Styela clava: one gene and its partner. The protein of the gene in region 1 interacts with the protein of each later gene in a pairwise test. Links are inferred from orthologs where the notes say so. Each region holds a gene or a part of one and is shown in the gene's direction. Other genes may lie near its edges. The genes, in order: BCAS3 microtubule associated cell migration factor-like and phagosome assembly factor 1-like.

Region 1 (11,742 bases):
GGCAGCATCAGAATGTTGAGGTTGATTAACATGTTGAGGTTGGTTATCCCATGTGTTCGAATCCTGTGGGGATAATTATGTGCGAGGGGGTTAATGGACCCCCCACCTTTGTAGAGTGATTATTATGGCTTCCTCCATCATGAAGTCAATACCTGGCCACTGCAGGATAGGATTTACATATTTATCCCGGGGAAGAGGAATATCGATGAGTCTTAATCATATGACAAACCACAGCCGCTTGTTTTAGATGGCGGAGGAAGACGTGAGCGGCCAGCCGTTGTGCGAACCACACTATGGCGGAAAGGAGTCCAGCAATTCTCTCGCACATAAGTTTTACTGCAGGGTAGAGGTGGCAAGCATATTACTAATGCTTAGCATAAACAGATGATGCTCCACAGCACCGAGCCTATGCTATATGGCTACTGAGTTATGCCATTTCTGCATGTCCTAGGCTACAGTACCGGTATGCTACGGAAATGTTCTGTCAGTCTGTACTTAGAATAACAAATCAGCAAATAAGTATAAGTTTATTTCGACTCCATAAACAGCATAACAATAAAATGATTGATAAAAACGGATAAATCAAACCTGATTATGAAATCAGAGAGAGCAAACAAAACCTTGAATAAGGTTTGGAACGTACATAATACAATAATAGAATATGGAAGGTATTGCCAAATACAAGTGGTAAGTGTTCACTCACCTAACTGCCTAAAGTTATATCAAATATTACGGTATATATAATTTACTGTCAGACTGTTCTGCATCAAGAAGATATTGCGGGTCTAGTATAGTTTAGTACCACAAGTACTTCCAGTGGGCGTAGCATAACAATTTTTGCATATGTTATTCCTAACCCCCACCTGACTATGCCATCTAAAAATTACGTTACTCTGACGTCACCATCACGTCATAGGGGTTGCCAAAGTATAATTATGATCGCTCGAAATGGCATCTGCGCCGCCGATAAGAACTTGCTAAAGCTGGCGATCTCTCTCCTATCGTGATCGTTGCGACGAGAAAACGAGAGAAATAGCTTGCTCGATTTCGGTTATCGTCTGCACGTTTTGGACGACCATCCGCATACTTCGGTGAGCCTTATTACGCCACTGTGACGTCGGAATGACGTAATTTTTCGGTGACGTAGTCAGGTTGGGGTTAGGATTGACATATGCAAAAATTGTTGAGCCAGGCCAACTAGAAGTGGCTGTGGTACTAAACTATACCAGACCCAATATTGCAATGTACAGATAGCCAATAAAGTATTTAATGTACAAGCATACCTTAACGTCTTCTTCACAGAACACCATATTCGGAACATCACACACAAAAACAGAACTTGGCAAGTCCTCAACATCCAATTCTTTCAGGAGCAATTCCGCACTGGCACAGCCATTATGAGCCTCCCTCTTAGATATGTCTTTCGTGTCAGGTAGCATTGAATATGTTGATATTTTATAAACCAGTATACAGTATCCTCTGAAACCAAGAGTATTTCCCTTTTGAAAACTGAATTATAGACTCAATTCATCCAATACTGTAATAGGCCGAGATCAACGTAACTGAAAAGCCATAAAGGACATAAAACCATGGTTAACTGAATATAAAACCTCAAAATGTAAACAATAACTAAATTAAATACTAATTCTACGCGGATAAATTTAGATGAAAAATTGAAAATTTCTTTTACAGTAATTCACTGTTGCATACAATGGTATTTATATGTTATGTATAGGTATCATATGGGAGAAAATCTGAAAAGGATGGTTTAATTATTATTATTAATATATATATTTATTGCCACATCGTCTTGTCAACCTAACATATGGGATAATTGACTAAAGTCAGTCATATACTTGTAAACTTACAAGTGTGTGGCAGCCGTTTACTTATTAGCAATAGCCAAGAAATTCGGAACTCATTCAACATGATCTAAAAATTAATGCGATATTATTTCGTCAAATATTTTAATATAAATAAATAATTTATTTTGAACACTTCCATATAAAAAAAAAAATACAAAACAAAGGACAAACACACAGGACGGCAATTCTTTGACTTACTTGTCAAGGCTTCATTACAGCCTCTGCGGATCAATCTGAACTATTGCTTTCCGTTTGTTTCCACGGCTAATCTCGGATGAGCCGACTTCAGCAACTGTTGTCTAATCTTTATGTACTCCGATGTCCCCGGGGCCGAAGCACTAATGATATATCTTGATGATATTATTTACACAATTGTGAATTCGAACTTTGAATAATAATTTTTTTTAAATAATGCGATTTCATGGAAAAGGACATCTATGTTCAGAGCAAGTCTGCCGTTTAGTTTAATAAATACTAATGGCCGTTGTTGGTTCCTGACCTTATTAGATATTAGAACCTTGGGTGTGGCTGCTCAATAACCAGTATTGGGTCCCCGCGTTTTCCCTCACCCATTGTAACTAAAGATTTATTAATGTATCGCCATCGGTATTAGTTATTTGCAATATCGACCATTTTTTTGGTATCGGTATTTGTATTAGTGTCGGCTAAATGTAGACCGATACTTCCGATATATTTTGCTTTTAAATCTGATTACGAATGTTTAAGAATATGTTAGAGAACGAATCTTGAAATTATTTTTTTGCGGCATGACATTTGCGGTATTTCTCCTCCGCGAGTAGAAACTAAAACTTGATTCTGACTTGTTTTTAGTTATTATTAAGCCAAACTAGCTCAACTAAATTTGCTATTTTCGCTGCCAAATGTTTATATTGACATTTGTAATATTACAGGGAAGTTATGATGAAATATATCAATCGAAGATTAGTAGATTATCCAATGTGTGACATACAAAATACGACGTTATATTGGCACAAATTCCTGCGCACGCAACGCAATATATCAGTTTGATATGATAAGTGAATATTTATTCACTTTACCATCCATAGTAACCGGATCGTATGAATTTTCTAATTGAACAGCGAGATTACTAGAGTCGATGCACAATGCATCAGAATTGATTAAGGTAATGCATCTGTACACGAGGTAATAATCAAATAGTATCAGAATATCGGCAATATCGGTTTTTTGAAATATCGCCTCGTCGGTATCGGCATATTTTCATTTATATCGGTAACGGCGGCAAAAGTGGTATCGGTTCTCTAAGTATAACCGAGTTAAATTTTTATATATTTTAATTCCGTATGCTATTTTTTACTGAGGGAAAAATAAATTGACTATATTCAACAATTTCTGATATTTCGGAAGCGAATTCCCTGCAAGACCTATTTTTAGTATGTTATTGCTGAATTGAAAAACGATCTATAGTCGACAATCGTTTTGCAAGTCACAACGGAATCTACATTTGTAGGAAGTTGGTGTTCAGTTTTGTTTGTATCGGTATTTTTACTCATTTCTTGAATTATCCGCTTCATATCCTCTTAGCGCAAGGAGCACGTGCCCTCCTATTTCCTCACTACCAACAACTCAAACGAGCTTGATTAACTTCTGAGTCGCACTTCCGGCACACGATTGTTTATTGTAAACTGCACTGTACAGTAATCAACCAATATTTTAATCTAATTCTAAATATTTGGCAGCTCTTATAGGGAAAGCGATGTTAGAAATAATGGACGAAATGCGTAATTTACAAACTTAATAAATAATAATAAAGAACAAGGATAGAAAAACTCAATTAAGGACGGTTGGCAACCCTAGTTGGGCAGCGGTGCGTGCGCTAACAGCCAGTACTCTGTTCCCGTACTTGTAGTTTATAAAAAGAGCTCATATAATTTACAGTTAAAAGAAATTGTTTTCGGCGTCTTCTCTCACCATATAATGCATTTTTTTTTAACATTTCCTTTAATTTGTGTATAGTTCGTACTTTCAGCATGATGAAGAAATAAACTAGAATATCGGTTAGAAACCGAAGACTTATCGATCGAAGGTTAGGGGATCTCCCAAAACAGTGGTCTTACTCCATAGTGACACTGTGTGTCCCATCACTAATTAATTAATAACTCGCTAACTATAAGACATAATCCATCCAATAGGCTTCTGATCCGAGCTATAACGAATGCACATGCAAAATTTGAAGCAGATTCAACCTCGCTTCCGTGAGATATCGCGTGCATCTAACATACAGACAAACAGACATACACAGACAAATACCTATCAACATACTTACCGATCTTAAGATTGGTAAACTTATACTTATATACTTATACTTATTATAAGTAAATACTGATTACTGAATGGCAAGACTGGACAAATATAATATTTAGTGGGCGTCGCAATATGACCTTTCAACTCTTACATGGTTGACCGCCGACAAGTTTGTTTTGTTTTTGTCAGCTGATGAGCTTCAGGAAAAATCGCTTTGTTTTGTCGTCCTTGTGGTGCAATTGTAATTGTTGTCTGCCTGAACTATATCTGCACAGTGAAAACGCACGTATTTACTGGAAGAATAGTTTTGCGAAAAATGAGTGGATTAGCAAAGTTATTTGGAGGAGGTAAAAGTAAACAGCCAACACGAGAGGAAGCGATCCAGAAATTGAAAGAAACACAGGAAATGCTTGAGAAAAAATCAGAATACTTGGAGAAAAAGATTCAAGATGAACTTGCTACCGCCAAAAGACATGGCACTAAAAATAAAAAGCTAGCCTTAACAGCACTTAAAAGAAAGAAGAGATTTGAAAAACAACTTGGTCAGGTGGATGGGACTTTATCAAATATTGAGTTTCAAGTGGAAGCGTTGCAGGATGCACAAGCAAATGCACAAACTTTCAAAAACATGCAATATGGCGCAAAAGCATTGAAACAGGTTCATGGAAACATGTCAGCAGATGATGTTCATGAGGTTATGGATGACATTGAAGAGCAACAACAAGTTGCTCAAGAAATAAGTGACGCATTGTCAGGTCCTGTAGGATTTGGCACAGACATTGATGAAGATGATCTCATGGCTGAACTTGAGGAATTAGAGCAGGAAGATCTAGACAGAGAATTGCTGAATGTGGGTGCAGCAACAAATGAACTTCCTGATGTCCCAGTATCGGATCTACCTACTCCAGTGGCAAAAGTGAAAGATGATGAAGCAGAACTCAGGCAGCTTGAAAATTGGATGGCAAGCTGAATATGAAAAAAAAAATGTCTGAATGATATGACAATGTTTCAGTATGCTTAGTCACTGAAATGATCACTTTTGTCATTTGTCATTTGCTTGCACTATCAAGTCATCTGCTGCAGTTCTTCAGAATTTTATTATTCAACAATTTCTAGCATCCATGTCTACCCAATTTTAACTGTTTTTTTTTCTTGATATTATTACAGACTATGGTGATTTAGCAGAAAAAATATGATGTTTTACAGAAAAAAATATTAATTTTCATATGAATCAGAAATAATGATATTTAAAAAAGATGGCTATATTCAAAACCAAATTACTATCCTTTTATTCAATCAATTTTAAATATTTGCAATCCAGAATACTAGGTCATATATTATGTTGACATCTTAGATAGAGGCACACTTTTAATGACATATTGGTAAATCAGCAGATCCAGTGTGGATGAATTAGACGTTTGCTCATCATGTGTTTGATCTGTCAAGATATATTTCTTGCATGATGGTAAAGATAGTACAGAATTGTACTTTATAAGCCGGATCCGTGGAATTAGAATAATAAATTATATGTGACATAATTATACAACCTTTATATTTTATCGGGGAAAAGTTGATAATAATAATATACTTACCAGTAGGTTGTATGAAAATTCTTAAATATTTTGAAACCCTTTTCTACATTACAGCTTTCACAAATTCGCAATTATGTGTAAAACACCTGGCCTCTGCTTCAGTAACTGAATAGTTTATTGACCAATACTTGTTTTTATCAAGCAGCTTTATAACTTCATACTGTCTTAGATCATTACAGAATTAATCAATGCTTATGTTCTGTATCAGGAGAAGAATTGTATTCTTTTTTTCGAGAATTTATGCATTCATATATTATTTTTAATTTCTCACTTTAATTTTTCAATATGTCGCTTTTTTCTATTTTATTTCGTTTCAAAATTTCCATCTGTTTCTAAAATAACATCGAAGGGTTTAATTGTCAAAATGATTTGTAATATGGAGAACCTGTCAAAAGGTACTCAAATTTTTTCATACTATTCATGGTGTGTTATTCAGAGCTTAGGCTTGAATGTTCGTTATTACTTGATTATATTTTAATGAGATCAATTTGAATTTGCAGCTCAGGTATATGTTATATGTATATTTACCTGAGTTGGGATATCTTGTTGGGACATTTTTATAGTTGTGCGTGTATTGTTAAAGTGCATAATAATAATAATAATAGATAATCAGGATATTTTTTTGGACTGCCATAATTAGATATATTTTTTCAGTTGGAATCTGTTTAAAATGCAAGTATTTCTATCACCGTTGTTTTCGTGCATAGGCGATTTGGAAATGCATGTTTTAAGTTTCAGATAGTCACTTTTTTAATGTTGTAATATTATTATATTATTACTCAAAAATATGTTTAATTTTTTTCTTAGAAACTGATAGCAAAATTAAAATGCTAATGTATCAGATACAATTCACACAACAACCAATTATTCCAGCTATGTTATTCAAAGGTATATTGAATTAATTTTTAATGCAGGTTTATTTAGAAATTATGTTTCATGTTCACACAATAAAAACATGTTTAAAATCAATAACTCGCTAGGAAGAAAAGAGTCATAATATGTGAGAATTATATTTTAAAATATGCTTCAATGCAAAAATTGACGGATCGCCTCAACATTTGACAAACAATAAAAAACACGATGACGATGATTCAGAATTTGTTTGAGAAGTGAAACTAACTGATTATTCTTTCATTTGCATAACAGAATATTTTTTCCCATTTACTCTCATAAATGATTTATGCGTTAGATTTTTGATTGTCGAACCTACTTATATGCCAATATTTGTGGAACATATGTTACACTGTAACTTGCTGTAAGGTGATGAATCACTTTCAAAAACCTTGCTAGCTTCTATTTCACTTTTATATATTGTAACTGGTAAATTGCTTTTATTATATTTTTAGAAGTTCAATAAAGACATGTCTGGTGGTATTACAAATTTTGAAACGATGAATTCAAGACGTCGAAGAGACGCGCCTTCGGGTCATGTTGTGCAAGCACAACCAATGAAGTAAGTATATTTATAAGTTCAAATTCAATCAACTTACCCTTGAGCAACCAATACACTTCATGAACATGTTCGATTTGGGGATTGCATGGATTTAATTTTATTTTACTCTTTTCAGAGACAGTTCTTACATGGAAAGCATGGTGAATTTTTTTCATGATATTGGACAAGTAAGTGTTATATTATAAGATTTCCATATTTATATACAATATAATATCTGCTTGTACATTTCTTATCACTAAGATATAGGGAGCTTTGCATAGAAAGATAAGTCTGCTTTATCTATCTTAACATGTGTGAGATAGAAATTGGTTGATCACAGAACCAGGAGCTGGAGATTTTAACCAAATATGTTCACATGATTAAGGTTCTCAACTATAGAAAAACTGTCTACATTATTGCTTTATATATCAATATTGTCCAGAAGAGCGAGTAGGCCTATTCAATATCTAACATAGAAACTTGCACTTCTCCAAAGGATATAATCCACCATAAGTTTCAGTTAGGAAAATAAGTTGAAAAGCTCTTGCACCTCTGATTACCCTGCAGTGATTCACAGATAGAATTCTGTGGGGGATGATCATGTGCGATAGGATTTCTAGACTCTTCTTTGTTTTTGTAGCGAGTTTCATATATATGGTGTAGTCTTTCTACACAAGTCCATACATCTGCAACGAATAAATGGTTATCCATTCTCATACCTGACATGAACTGGTAACCATATAAGAGGGTGTTGTTCACCATAATATGATTAAGTGTCTTATCAACTTTTCTCTCCCTTGGATAAATATAAAAATCCCATCCTACAAAATTATTCATCTGAAAGTAATATATTCAGCTGTATTCGTAATGTTGTACTCTCTTATATTCAATAGGTATATTCTAATACATCTCAAGCAGAAGAAAAAGAAACTGTTCTGTGGGCAAGATTATTTGATTATAAGAATGCTCTGGATCCTGAATTTGACGGTTTTACAAATGGGAGTAGAAATGATGTTGTTGATTCTTTGCTGTTGATCCTGGGATATAAAAATGGAGTACAAGCATGGATAATATGTGTAAGTTTGATTTAAAAGATGCCTTTTGTTCAGGGATGATCATAAAAGTCTTCAGTATTCTAATTAATAAATCCAGTAACTGAACGAATTTTCAAAATATGATTTCAAATCTGCAGCATATCTATAGCGTTTGAGGAAATTTTATATTCCAAGCATGATAGATTGACAAATTGATTGTTGTAAAAGTACTAACATAAGCAGTTTCATTTTGGTGTACTGTCTGTCAGATATGCTGTTCAGACAATTTCGGACAGTCCAGTACTTTCAACATGTGTAATATTCTTCAATAATTTTGTTAAAAAACTCCTTTTGATCCCAGGAAAATGGTGAAGTACAAGAGATCTTATCTTTGCGTGAAGGTCCTGTGAAGACAGCTTGTCTAGTTCCTCCACCAAGCAGTTCAAGTATGTTTGTGAATCCTATATATGTTATTAATTAATTTGATGGCTTCATAAATGTAACAAGCTTTGTCTAGACTAGAGAGAGGGTCCCAGAGGTATGTTCAAATTCTAGTGTACAACTGTACATTGCATTTCAATCTTCGATATTCTGATCAGCTTGAGTTGGTGAAGTAAACTGGCATATTATTTTGTTATTGGAGTGAGAACTGGAGCTGTATCTCATCGGGGCGATATTCAAAATCTAAATTTGATAGAGTTTGAATTTAAGGCTTCTAATGATTATAATGGAGGTTGAAATTTCTGTCCGAAACTCACAAAACATCGAGTTGACTAAGCACTCTCAACAAACAGGTATAAAAGTCTCACATACTCCAAAGTTGTTGTTATTTAAATTTGATTTGTCATAGTTCAATACTAGAGTCAGAGTCAAAACTTCCTCCAATCTGAAGTTGAGGACAAATTCTGTTTCAATTTGGACCAGGAGACATTTATTAAATTTGAAGTTGGAGTCTGTTCTAAATTTTTCTTGACTCAACAGCCCTCATTTGGATTGTTCAAATTTAGGCTGTGAGAAAGCATCGAGAAAGATGCTGTAATTAATATTCTGAATCATTTGAATGCTTTTCACCAATCTTACTCGTAATCTATAAGATAAACATAACTGGTGTTTTTAATTATAGGTGATAAAAAGCATGATGAATACACAATATCTCGTCCTTTGCTAGCTGTTTGTATGGCTGCTGACAGGTTAGTTCAGGAGGTGACTTGAGGAATACTGATTAATGCGCCTCAATCTTCCAATATTTCATACCTGAGTTGGTAGCTTGATGATGCATATGCCCATAAACAATAGTCTACATCACTGCAAAAGTAAATTTGTATTCACTGCCACTGGCCACTGCAAACTTCTATTTTCCTTTTCAAAGTTCTGCTGAGGCCGACTAACTATACAAATATATAACTTGGTATCAGGTATGGCTGAGACCTAATACCTTTATTTCGTGATACATTCTAAAATAATATTTTTAAATATTAAAGATGAAATATATTTCGTATTAAATTAGTCTAACGACGAGCACATCTGGTAGTTTGATCCACATTTTATTTAGTTTGAAATAAAAATGCAGAAAATTGAGAATAAACAATGATTCGATTGGTCTCTTTTTTTTTACCCTTTTTTCTGAAATTGAAAAACTATGAGACTGCAATCTTTTAATGAAACTATTTCAAAAGAATTGCATTCCTATAATCGAGAATTTAAAAATCGAGTGTAATTAATTTTGAATTCTTTGAGTATTTAATCCATGTTAGACATTTTTTCCTGTTGTATTATTTGGATATTGAGGTTCGAAATCAATTATATTTATGACTGCTGTTAATAAAAGTCAATCATTGTTTTAGAAAACAGCTATTCACATCAGTGAGTATATTCTCTTTGCGAACAAAGGATAAAATACGACAGTTAGAATTCGATGAAAATGTTGAAGAGCTGAGTACTGGATTGGAAGGAATGATCATTGTCACGTTGAGATATGAGATAAAAGCTTTCAACACTTTTGACTTTAAACTAATTTTCACAGTCAGAGGTTGGTATATCGTTATGTTCATTTTCAATTTGATGTTATTTAATATCTATCTTTTACAAACTATCTTACACATATTTTTCATGTATATTGAAATATTGGTCATTTGATGGATTGAAAATTTGATGGATTACTAATGATAAATGAGGGAAATGTTACCCTCAAACATCATTTGATCAATAAAATTGAAATGCTCATGAATATAGACTACATAAAAGCAAACCTAATTCTGGCAGATCTAAATGCTCTTTAAGTCTTGCAAGTTTACTAAAAATAGTGGCTAACTTCATACTATAGGTATTTGATTATATTTAAAACAATAACATTTGAATGTAAATTTGTGAAACCCTGGTTGAAAACCACTGCTCTAGTGTTTTTTGTGATGTTTAATTGCTCTTCATGACCCATCGCTTGAAATTGAGATACTGTACTCAAAGAGACTAGATCTTTCAATCACAATACAAAGTTATACAAAGATTATTTAGCCGTGCATGTTTAATCCTAGTCATAGTATTAGATTTTATGCTTGTGTTGGAGTTACCACCAGCGTCTAAATTTGCCCTTAATTTGGAAGACTAGAAGTAATTGTTTCATATTTCTAAATATTCGAATATTAATTTTCCTAGGGTCAATGTCCAAACGCCAAGGTCATTCTGCCGAATCTAGTTGGAAATGGAAATTTGGTTTCATTTCAGAAATAAGTGACATTCCTAACTTACTCTGTAGACAATAACCCTTGTACTGGAATAAATAAAAATAGCCAAATGATCCTGTATTCAAGTGATTGTGGCATTGTGCTTAATATATTCTCATTATCATTATTCACACACTACTAAAACATATTGTCAGGCTGGTACTAATTCAGCTGAAATATTTTTTGTCCAGGCTGACTTATATGCTAATAATTAATGCTGAGGGTATTCAATCTGTCATTATCGTTTATTTCAGACTGCTATCCAAGTCCAGGTGTAAACAGCAACCCCATTGCAGTTGGAAACAAATGGCTTGCTTATTCTCCTGCTAAGGTCAGTATTTAATTCAAATTAGTTAGAACACATGTCCAGTGTTAACAACAGGGCTACCAGCTCGAATCCCAAATTAAGGATGGGGATAAAAGTGATTAAATTCAAATATATTTATCATCACCAACAATTTTTCATTGCTTGAAATCGTTCTAAACATTCATTGCAACTCCAGTCCAGATTTACTTTTCGTTGCAAGATTGGTTGTGACTGTCAAGGTTAAATAATGATCAAGGTACGGTGAAGGAAAGACGGTATGATTCTCGGTGGTTTGGCTGAAAACACTATTATAGCACAAATTTGGGAAATTGACAAACATTTACATGCAGGCTCTGTCCAATTTAAGAGCCATCCTCGCCTGTATAATTTGTTTTCAATATTCAAATTTATGTTGTGTTTATCTGATTTATGAAAATATTGATGTAGTTTAAAATAAAGTCATATTTCAAAAACCAGGATTAAATTTATTGATGTGAGTGTTAAAAATA
Region 2 (11,123 bases), on another chromosome or scaffold:
AAAGTTAGTTGTAAATCAAATAACTTAAGTGTCATTATGTCTACCAGGAAACTTTAGTTCAGTTGCAATATTCAAAAATTAGTCCCGAAAAAGCTGCTATCGACTAAGCTAAAATTTTAGGATCATTACCTGTGAGCGACATATGGTTAAATGATTTAAATTAAACGAAAATAATAGTTTTGAACATATGAACCAGTTCATATGTGCCAACTCTCCAAAAATTAGAGGGAGTATTTTTCTGGTGTCAAGTGTCGGGGTAACATCGTATGGAGACTTTCTCTGGGGTGAAGGGTCGAGAAAACAGTCATTATGCATGCTCATGTGGTTAGTTAGAAATAAAATTGTCAGATAATGCCAGCACTTATTTTGAAGCAAAGAGGTGATTTTGAAGATTGATTTGCACACTCTATCGGTTACTTCGAATAGCCTCAAAATAAGTGTTAACATTTCATGGTTACATACCGCAATATATATATCTTCATTGTATATATCAAGTCCATGCATCTGAAAATAAAAACTAGCTAACTAATCCCGTATCCGACATCGGCTGGGCCGTGGTTTACCATGTTATTAAACCGCCGGGATAAAATAAATATGCAAAACCGTTGCAATAATTGGCATCTCATCAAAGAACAAGAGAGCGATGCTCATATATATGGACACGTAGACCAGAGCGAATCAGTCCTTATTGGTACCTTTGAGGCTACCGGTACCCTCAAAAAAGTTCCGAATTTCCAGTAGCAAAAATTTTGCAGAATCAAAACGTACATCCAGTCACCACGCGGACTAAAATCCGTGTTTCCATGTATAAATAATAATACAGTGAAATTTTGGAGGAAATATCAAATTTCATAGAATTCATACAAAATTTAGAACTAAAAAGTAATAGCCTTCTGGAGAAAAGTCCATCTTCAACCACTGAAAATTTCAAAGCAATTGGTCCAGTAATCGAAAAGAAAAGCGACTTTTCAAAAACGTGTCAAAGAACAAGCATAAGAACAACAAAAATACCGAAACGATCGTTATATCCACTACGTGTCCAAAAACAAATTACCATCTTATCTTATTGTGAATGGCAATAAATTGAATGATGGCAATGCAATTTGTAGCGCTCTTAACCAACATTTCTTAGAAGTTGGTCCTAAACTTGCTTTACGAATAAGTCCAGTTGCAACAGATCATATGCAAACTGAACACTAAAAGAAAGAAGAGAATGAAATTTCTTCCGACGAATAATGAAATGATTGAAGTTACTAAAAAGATGAACACTAAATAGAAGAAGTGGATGAAATTTCTTCCGACGCATAACGAGGTGGTTGAAGTCACTAAAAAGCTGAACACTAAAAGGAAGAAGTGAATGAAATTTCTTCCGACGAATAATGAGGTGGTTGAAGTCACTAAAAAGCTGAACACTGAAAGGAAGAAGTGGATGAAATTTCTTCCGACGAATAATGCTGTGGTTGAAGTCACTAAAAAGCTGAACACTAAAAGGAAGAAGTGGATGAAGTTTCTTCCGACGAATAATGAGGTGGTTGACTCGGCCAATGTAAATAGCATCATTTCGGACATAACCCATATACCCAACACTGTTTCGGATCACATACTATGCCCACAAATTACACTAGAACAAACCAAAAAGGTTCGATGGGGCAAAGGAACGTGGCGCAATAACACCGCGCTATATAAGGACCCCACGTATATCACCATCATCCAAAATACATATAAAGACGCACTCACGGATATCGAAAACTTTGATTACTTGTCGGACTGGTGGGACTATGTGAAAAAGAGGGTTAAAAAACAAACCATTGCCTACTCGAAATTCCGGACACGTGACCACAATACTAGCTTAATGCAAATTCGAAAAAGATTTGATATATATACTAATCAATGAGGGGAAAGCGGAAAACATGATCGAAATCAAAAGGCTAAAATCGCAGATCGAGATAATTCAAGATGAACGAAACAAAAGGGACATACTAATGGCAAAAATGAAAAACCTTGAAGAAGGAGAAAGGCCCACCAAAACCTTTTATGAAAAAATCCGGCGCAGATCTAGGCAAACAACAATAGAAGAGCTGGTGACAAATGACCAAAATGTAAAAACAAATCCCGGGGAGATCATATCAATAGTAGAAAGTTTCTATAAGAACCTATGGGGCAAAGAGAATATAACGCAAGAACAATACCAAAATCGTTATCTAAACTTAATGGGCTCTTCTAAAATTGCAGATGAGGATAATATCATACTAGAAAGTTATATCTCACAAGAAGAGGTATATAGGGCGATAAAATTTATGGGAAACGATAAATCCCCAGGATTTGATGGTCTATCCAAAGAATTCTACCTGACCTTCTGGAACTCTATTAAAAAGCAATTTACTCAACTTATGAATAACATATTATATTTCGGCCAAATACCAAAATCTGCTACCATAGCGAAAGTTAAATTAGTATACAAGAAGGGAGACAAAACAATTTAAAAAATTGGAGGCCAATCACAACGCTCAATGCGGACTATAAAATCCTATCAAGAATCCTTGTTAAACGATTAGAACCAGTACTAAACAAAATCATAAGTCCATCCCAGAAATGCGCACTCAAGCAAAGATGTATGGAAGATGTTCATTATAATATAGACGCTATAATTAGACACTGCAAAATGAAAAATATCCCCGGATCACTAATAATAATAGACAATCTTAAAGCTTTTGATAGAGTGAATCATGACTTCTTATTTAAAATTTTACATCAAATTGGACTTGGAAATAGAATCTCAAAAGCAATTAAAAGCATGTATTACGGAATTAAAAGTCAGGTAGATGTAAACGGTAGACTCACGCAGGAAATCGATATAGGGCAAGGAATTAGACAAGGATGCCCGTTAAGTATGCTTCTCTACGCCATCAATATAGAGCCCCTAGCAAGATCGGTACAATTAAATGCCAATATACATGGTATCCAACTGGGGAGATACGAGCATAAACTCGATCAGTTTGCTGATGATATCACGTTCGCAGTTAGAGATCAATTATCTATTACAGAAATCTTTCACGAGCTAGACAATTTCCATTTAGCAACAGGACAAAAAATAAATAAAGATAAGACCGAAATTCTCTGTATTACAAAAAAATCGCATAATTTAGTGAACAATTCGCCACATGGGAACTACATAAAACAAAACACCATAATACTTGGAATACAATTTGGAAATATGGACTTAAACAATATGTGGCAGGTAATCGAAAATAAGATGATACGAACCCTAAATTACGTTAAGCTGCGAAACCTCACCTGGTATGGTAAACTGATATCAATCAACTCCATGATTATGTCTGTCATAATCTTCCATACGAGAGTAAAGAGAATCCCGAAAACGTATATAAAGAAAATCGAGAGTGCGCTGTTTAAGTTCCTCTGGCACCCGCAAAAGATAGAGGCCATTAGCAGAAAATCGCTACAAAGAATGTGGAACGATGGTGGGATCAATATGATTGATGTTGATGCAAAAATAAAGGCATGTGCAGTGGAAAAAATGAGATACATCGTGGGTAACGAACCCCTAACTCAATTTTGGCAAATAGAGGCATTATACTCTTTGGGATCCAGAGTCAAGCAAATTAACAAGGATAGATACACCAACTCAATGCCCCACAGCAATACTATTCCAGAGCAATGGGCATACATCCTCGACATCTATAAAGAATTGAATTTCTCGCAATCCACCTGGGAGGTTGCAAGACATAAAGACCTGTACATGAAATTAAAGAACAACAGGACAGCCAAAGACAAACAACAGCTGCTGAATGTGAATTGGGAAGAAGCTCACCTATTTAACCATGATTATAAAAATAAGTTTATTAACGCGGAACGAATAATCTCGTATCGCATTATAAGAGAGGGGTACTTATTCGGCGATCGCTTGAGGGGAATGTCCCTCAGGTATGATACTCTCGGAAACTTAAAAATATTAGGCTGCAAATTTTGCAAAGGGCCTGTAGACAATACAGGACATATAATTATAAACTGTAAATCAACGAGGAAATATGCGGTGAAACTTTTAAAAATTCTTAACAGCGTACTAAGCAACTCCATCAAAATAACTCTAAAGGAAATATTCTACAATAGTTACAGGGGGCATAACCGAATAGTAGTCACCAAATGTTATGTAATATGGAAAAAGAACTTAATTGGCACCAAAATAAGACTGGATATCCAAAATAAATATTTGACCCCTATGGACGATGACATAATTTCAAAAACAATATCTCACTTTACGCAATTTTTAAACACAATGGAGAACACTTTTACTAACCTTAATTTTCTCGGAATAGTAAATAACTGGAAGGAGATCCTAAATGGATATTCAGCTACATAACGCAATCCACCATAAACAAAAGCATATCTGCCCAAGTGGACTCTGCAATTTTATTCATTTTTTATGTCGGAAATACCGGAATACCGGAAATACCGGAACAGTCTTATCGGCTTTCCTCGCCCCCGGGACAAATATGTAAATCCTATTTATCTGTGCTATTCTTATTGCTGTATTGTTTATTTATATTTCATACTGAGCCCGACTCTGTTATGATGATCTGTAATGTACTAGATCACAGTTTAGCACTAAAATATCTGCTGACTCAGTTTCTGCCCTTTTTATATTTATATTGTAGCAACCAATTCTGACAGTTACATAACAGTGTAAAATTGGTCACGAGCCTCGATGACTTTCAACGGTCTTGCATACTGGCCAACACAAAACAATGTGTAAATTGGATGATCTACTTCCATAAAAATCATCGATATTGCTTTATATTGTTTTATCATTGTTTGTGGAAATAAAATCTCTCTCTCTCCTCTTGCATACTGGAATAATTAATTTAGGGTCAAGGGTCGAGTAAACATACTTTATTGCGCGGAACCTTTTCTGACTTTTGCAGGTTTGTGAACAAAAAGATCGCGATATCCACATTTACGGTATGCGAGGACATCAAGGGAAGGGTAAGAACCGTACGGCGTACGGTATTATATGCGCTCTATACGAAGCGGACAGGCCTCACTCATTCTTCCTCATCAGTGTTATCAATTTCAAACGCTTTATGCGTAAAGTATTCTCTCTTTAATGTCATCTACGAAACGATTAAGTAGAAAGGTTCGTAACATTGATGTAATTGCATTAGGACAGTTATGATATCAGCCAGTTCATGAAAAATTGCATATTTAAATAAATGCAAAGTTATTTTATATTCTTACAAATTATTTAGCATAATGTCTGAATGTAGGCCTAGTCTTGAATTGATTCTTTAAATGAAATATACAGAAAATATAGATGAAATATTATTTTAGTTTTAATATTTAATATTATTAAAGTTTTTTATATCATTATTTATTCGAATTTGTTCTAGGCTACCGGTAGACTACCTGATCTCAACTAGTCTATCATCTCTTTCAATTCATTCCTCATTTAGTACAAAACATGTTTCTTGATCTTGACTGAATCAAATTTGATTTTCAATTTAAAATGCTCATTGGCCAAGATATTACTGTATTATGATCATGATTTTATTATCCATAAGAAAATATAGCTTCTAAGCTTCAGATCATATAATATAGCACTATGTTTGTAAATTGAAAGTTTGGCAAGAGATCCCACAGTTCATCTAAAATCTGGCTGGTATTTGGATGGGAAACTCCCAAGTCCATTTTCAAGTATTTTGCAGTATTGTGGCGTCTGAAGGCTGAAGCTGCCGCGAAACTATGGCCGCTATGCCAAACTCATGGCGACTGACTTTTTAGCTGCCAGAAACCATTTGCGGGTAAAATTTTGCTGCCTTAACCACGGCAGGTAGGCCCACTACTGCACTAGGCCGTAAAGACAGGGCTGCCCTGATAGTGACAAATATTGGGTAAGTTGGAACATTTTTTTATGGATACAGTTTTACATGTATTTGGGGTTAGGTTTCAGGTATAAATAGTCTATTTATCTATTTAAAATAGATATATTTCCGCATGATGAATTAAAATCTGGTATATAACTTTGTGAATATACGGGCAATAGCGCATAAATCATGGCAAGAGCCGCCGCAGTACGTTCGTGGCAGGAGCTGCCATGAAGTGGTAAGAACTGCATTAGGGTGAACTCAGAAATGCAGCATTCACTACTGCGGAGCTTTGTGATGCAATAGTCTATGTTTAAATTTTTTCACATGTTAATTTTAGTTGAACGACCTTCCCCCATCCAGTTAGTCCCATTATCATTATTTCTGATATGGCAAATTTATTAATGGGGTAATCCATTTGAGGTAAGTGGAAGCGTGTATCTTTTTTTTCGGTTTTCATTACTCATTCGATTATTCGTATATCTGTTTTATTGCGACTGAAAATCGGAATAAACTCTCTAAATTGTACCTATATTTTATTTGTATACAAATAGTTTGTTATTACCAGATTACTGTATTAGCTAAATCTAAGAGTGAGATGCTGGATTTAAATGTTCTCCCTGAAAGATCTCTTGGAAATGAACAATGGAGTTTTGCACTTGGAATGCCATTATCACAGATTGTACAAATTTTACAAACACATTGTCGAGTCATAAAAAGTGTGGAAGTCATTTATCAAGAGAAACGTCCAATCGAATCTGATCTGGTGTTGAACCTGAATAGTGATGGAATAAAACTTGTTTTTGACTCTACTGCACAACGATTAAAAGTGATTGAAGTTTTTAACATGTCAAAAGTTAAACTTAAATACTGTGGAAATTATTTTAATTCTCCACAAAATAAACCAACCCCGGAACAGATTGAACAAGCATTTGGCGCTACTCGACCAGGGCAATATGATGCAAGTTTGCAATCGTACATTGTAAGCTTCAGAGGTCTTACTTTTTTCTTTCCAGTCGATGCTCAATTTGAAAACTTCTTCGCTAAGCATTCGTTATCAAGTGCCACATCAAGTTTGCCCACAGATTTTATTCCTGCTGTATCAAGAATGTGCATTTATGCTGGGAGCCAACTGAATGAAACGACTGCACCAGCAATGCCATTGTCTTGTTATCATGGAAATCTATATCTTGATTCGGCTGAAGTTTCTTTCAAAGAAAATGGCAAAGAATGTGATGGACTAGATCTGAAACTAATAACTGTTCCTGATAATAAAAATGAAACTATCATTTTAGAAAAATCAGTTAAATTTGGTGATAGTGTTCAGCAAGTTCTTGCAATATTAGGATCTCCATGCAAAATTTTTTACAAGCTTCAAGATAAAATGAAAATACATTCTGCAAGTCCACGTAAATTGAATGAAACTCGCCACACAGATTATTTTTATAATTATTTTACTCTTGGAATCGACATATTATTTGATGGCAAGTTTCATCAAGTGAAAAAATTTCTTCTGCACACAAATTTTCCTGGACATTACAATTTTAATATTTACTATCGATGTGATTTCAAAATTAAGCTTCTTGGAGAGGAAAACTGTGTTGACGTTACTCCATGTACACTTTGGAATGATGTAATTGGCCAATTGCCTTTTGATGTTGGCAAACCAGTTGTTCTGAATAGAGCATCGTCAACAAATAACACTAACCCCTTTGGATCAAATTTTTGTTTTGGATTAAGAAATATGATTTTTGAGGTTATGTCGAATAATCATATTGCATCTGTTACTTTGTATAATCCGCAAAAACAGTTGAAATAACTTTTCAAAAATAAGATATTACTAGGCAACAGTATTTGAATGCTTGGTGACTTCAATATTTGCTCTAATCATTGTGCTGTCTATGTTTATGTGTGTTCAAAATTTAAAAGTTTGATTTGTTTACATATCAAAAATTTATATATTATCATATTCTAGACATAAAAAATGAAATAATTATTCTGAATGTTTTGAAAAATGTTGATAATACTGGAGAATTGTAAATTTTTTTTGATCTGTTACAAGCTTTAATTGGAAATTTTAGTTTTTGCTTATAACAGATTACTTCCTGAGTAAAGCCATTGGTTCATAACTAGTTGGGATATATAGCTAGCTGGTTTGCAAAATTACCTGATGTTCTGAATTCTGTTGGGTTTTCTTTGTTGTTTTAGACTGTGTATGTTTTTTCCATAATGAAATAGAATAAATAGAAGATATGGTAAATAATAACTGTGTAAATAATTCTGAATCATCTTTATTAGTTTGTTAATGGTGCAAACAGTAAAACATTCATTAATAAAAGCAGGCTTTTAAATTGTTTACTTTCCATTTGAGCATAATTATTTTGATATGTTCTGGTAAGTAGTCTCTGGAAACATTGATCATTCAATATGGATGCTATTAGCAGTGAAACAAATGGTTCCAAAGATACTATTATGAAAAAGAAAGAACTCAAAACAGCAATGCTGGAGAAACGCGAAGAGGAAAGAGTAGATAGCATTCAACAAAAACGGAATCAAGACACAGAGTCAAAAGCGAAGATGGAAACTTATGATTATTTTATATCACATTTCAAAGATGAGTGCGATGCTGTACAAACTGAACTGGACAGAACAGATATCAATAAATCTGATCGCATTCAAATTGCAAGTTATCTTGAAAATTTATCTGAGTCCTATGAAAAAGTTTTAAAATTTGTAAATAACTCTACAATGTTTCTACGACCTTATCAACTTGAGCAGGCACAGAAAACTCTTAATCAGGTTCAGACGGATGTTTCCAAGAAGAAGCTTGAACTGATTCCCAAAAAAAAGTTCACATTTAAATCTAAAAAGAAGAACGAAGTATCAGTTAAAGGTAAGACATCTATTATTTCACTTGTTGCAAACTTTCAGTTTCCATTTCATATTCCAAGTGCAATCCAATTAGTCTATATGTAATATTTTAGTGTCCTACGCTTTTACTGTACATAGACTCTCAGATGCATTTGTTTTTATTAATAGATAATTTCATTCCGAGTGTGGTAAAGATAATTATGTATAAGATTGTAAAATTCAAAAGTGGTGAATGTTTTATGGAAACATTCTTTTAAAAAATACTAATATTGTATTATTCAGAATCTGATAAGAATCCTGTAAAAAAAGTCGACGATAAGAAATTTAACTTCTCCGCGAGTGAATGCGGAATATCTGATAAATACGATGCGACTATAGCTATGAAACCTGATGAAATTAATCAAAGAGATGTATCATTGACAAAACTAGAAAATTGCCGACTGGAATTAAGTGGTTATCCAGGAACAGTACACCTTAACAACATAAAAAAATGTGTCATATTGTGTGGACCTGTATCAGGTTCTGTGTTTGTTGATAAGTAAGTAGTGTCTCTAAATGTATTGATATTGATCTGGTTTTATTTTCTCATAAAAATTTAATACACCTAAAAGGACTGGGAAAATTTATTTAGTTCAGTTGATTATTGTAGTAAGGGATAATCATGATCCTCCCAGCTTTTTAACCAGGCTTATACATTTTTACAGCTGTACCGATACCAAGATTATCACTGGGTGTCAACAGCTCCGTGTACATAATACAACTGATACTGATTTCTATATCCATGTCACCAGTAGAGCAATTATTGAAGACACATCGAGGGTACGATTTGCACCATTCAATTGGACCTATGAAAATCTTCAAGATGATTTTGGTAAATCTGGCCTGAATAAAGATTTGAATAACTGGAGTAAGGTGGATGATTTCAATTGGTTAGCTGCTGATATACCTTCACCAAACTGGTCTTTATTGCCAGAGTCTGAACGAAAACAACAGTGGTAGATATTTTAACCTACAAAGGATGATGTATTCTGAATAATTATACCATAGTCAAAAACAAATCGAATATTGTGTGTTGTAGGTTACGTTGGCCATATTTGCAAACCTATTGTGTTAAATATTTAACCGTTTTAGAAATAAATGAGATAATTTGTAACGATAATGGTGGATATTTTGTTGGAACTGTATCTGATCGTTGAAAACGATTTGTAAGCAGATAGCAAAAACACGTCTACGGAAACTTTTGAAACCGAATATCAAGGAAAATGATTTCATATTACTTCAAGGGGAGGGGGAAGTTATAAAACAGCTCAATAATATGGCAATATAAGAACGCGCTTAGGGCACCACAGAAATTTCATAGCAGAATTTTATATAGTTTATCAGTGTTTATTAAAAATATTACGAGTTAACCATGCGACCGTCTTCAAGTATCATGTTATCCTTCTGTACCAAAAATAAACACTTAAACTTATTTATTGGACACGAAATGGGCTTATGAGTCGTTTTGTAAAATTACTGTTGTTTTTTCCTCCTAGTATTCTCCTTGTTGATGCATTTTTGTTTTAAAAAAGTTTATTTTCTTTTCAACAATTGGACCTATGAACTATTTGCACTATGTGGCGGTTTCACAATCGCATTTCAACGATCTAGTGGTCAGCGAAGTCGGGAGTTTTTTGATAAGGTAAACCAGGGCGGTCCAAACCCTGTCATACTGATACATTCCGTGCGGCCCACAGAACACTTTTAGCGTATATTTGTATCTATTAGCAGAGCGTTTTCGAGTTTTTTAGATATTCCAACTTGGGTGGGGATCCCGAGATCCCCCTTTTTTTTCTAACGCTTTGTGTTTTTATTTTAGTAAAAACACTCTTCTGTTTTCAAGCGTGGGCCATGTTTCAGTAGTGACGAAACGCAGAGCCGACTTAACGCCGCGCAATCCATTTTTTTCAGCAAGGTCCCGAAATACCAACTTAGATGGTTATTTGACGATGGCACTAAGCTTGTCATTTTTAGCAGTTTTGAAAAAAACGTAAAAAACTTCCATTTTAATAATTCAATAATTTGCCATGGTTCAATTTTTTGATCGTAGCCGGATTTGAAGTTAATTTGTATGACGCAGTTAAGTGACGTCGTAATGGCGCACTGTGACTTAGGCAGAAATGTGTCTATGACTTGGGGACATACGCAATTTTGTAACTTTACTATATGCACCAGTCCTGAAAACTAAACATTCCAAAAACGAATGTAATTCTCAGTATCTACAATGTCCAGTCCCAAAAATAGCTAATCAGTTTCAATTACATTATTTTTTGTGTTTAAAAATATATATTTCATAAATATAACACGTTCTGTACACCTACCGAAATAAGATTA

Evidence for each region.
Region 2: the proteins of BCAS3 microtubule associated cell migration factor-like (region 1) and phagosome assembly factor 1-like interact in binary tests that used the Homo sapiens proteins (3 or more experiments, as listed by UniProt). The link is inferred for Styela clava from reciprocal best matches to the Homo sapiens genes BCAS3 and PHAF1.

The regions. Positions count from the first base shown.
Region 1 is NC_135257.1:2,743,556-2,755,297, reverse strand, and holds the start of BCAS3 microtubule associated cell migration factor-like, read left to right. Parts: upstream 1-6,526; 5' UTR 6,527-6,628; intron 6,629-7,086; 5' UTR 7,087-7,101; coding exon 7,102-7,193; intron 7,194-7,308; coding exon 7,309-7,360; intron 7,361-8,065; coding exon 8,066-8,248; intron 8,249-8,567; coding exon 8,568-8,652; intron 8,653-9,329; coding exon 9,330-9,396; intron 9,397-10,050; coding exon 10,051-10,235; intron 10,236-11,180; coding exon 11,181-11,257; intron 11,258-11,742. Other genes in the region: calcipressin-2-like, read right to left, coding at 1,284-1,439. UniProt on the Homo sapiens protein: Plays a role in angiogenesis. Participates in the regulation of cell polarity and directional endothelial cell migration by mediating both the activation and recruitment of CDC42 and the reorganization of the actin cytoskeleton at the cell leading edge.
Region 2 is NC_135263.1:19,871,545-19,882,667, forward strand, and holds phagosome assembly factor 1-like, read left to right. Parts: upstream 1-5,554; 5' UTR 5,555-6,477; coding exon 6,478-7,698; 3' UTR 7,699-8,255; downstream 8,256-11,123. Other genes in the region: tubulin-specific chaperone C-like, read left to right, coding at 8,307-8,772, 9,033-9,288, 9,455-9,749. UniProt on the Homo sapiens protein: Plays a regulatory role in autophagic activity. In complex with BCAS3, associates with the autophagosome formation site during both non-selective and selective autophagy.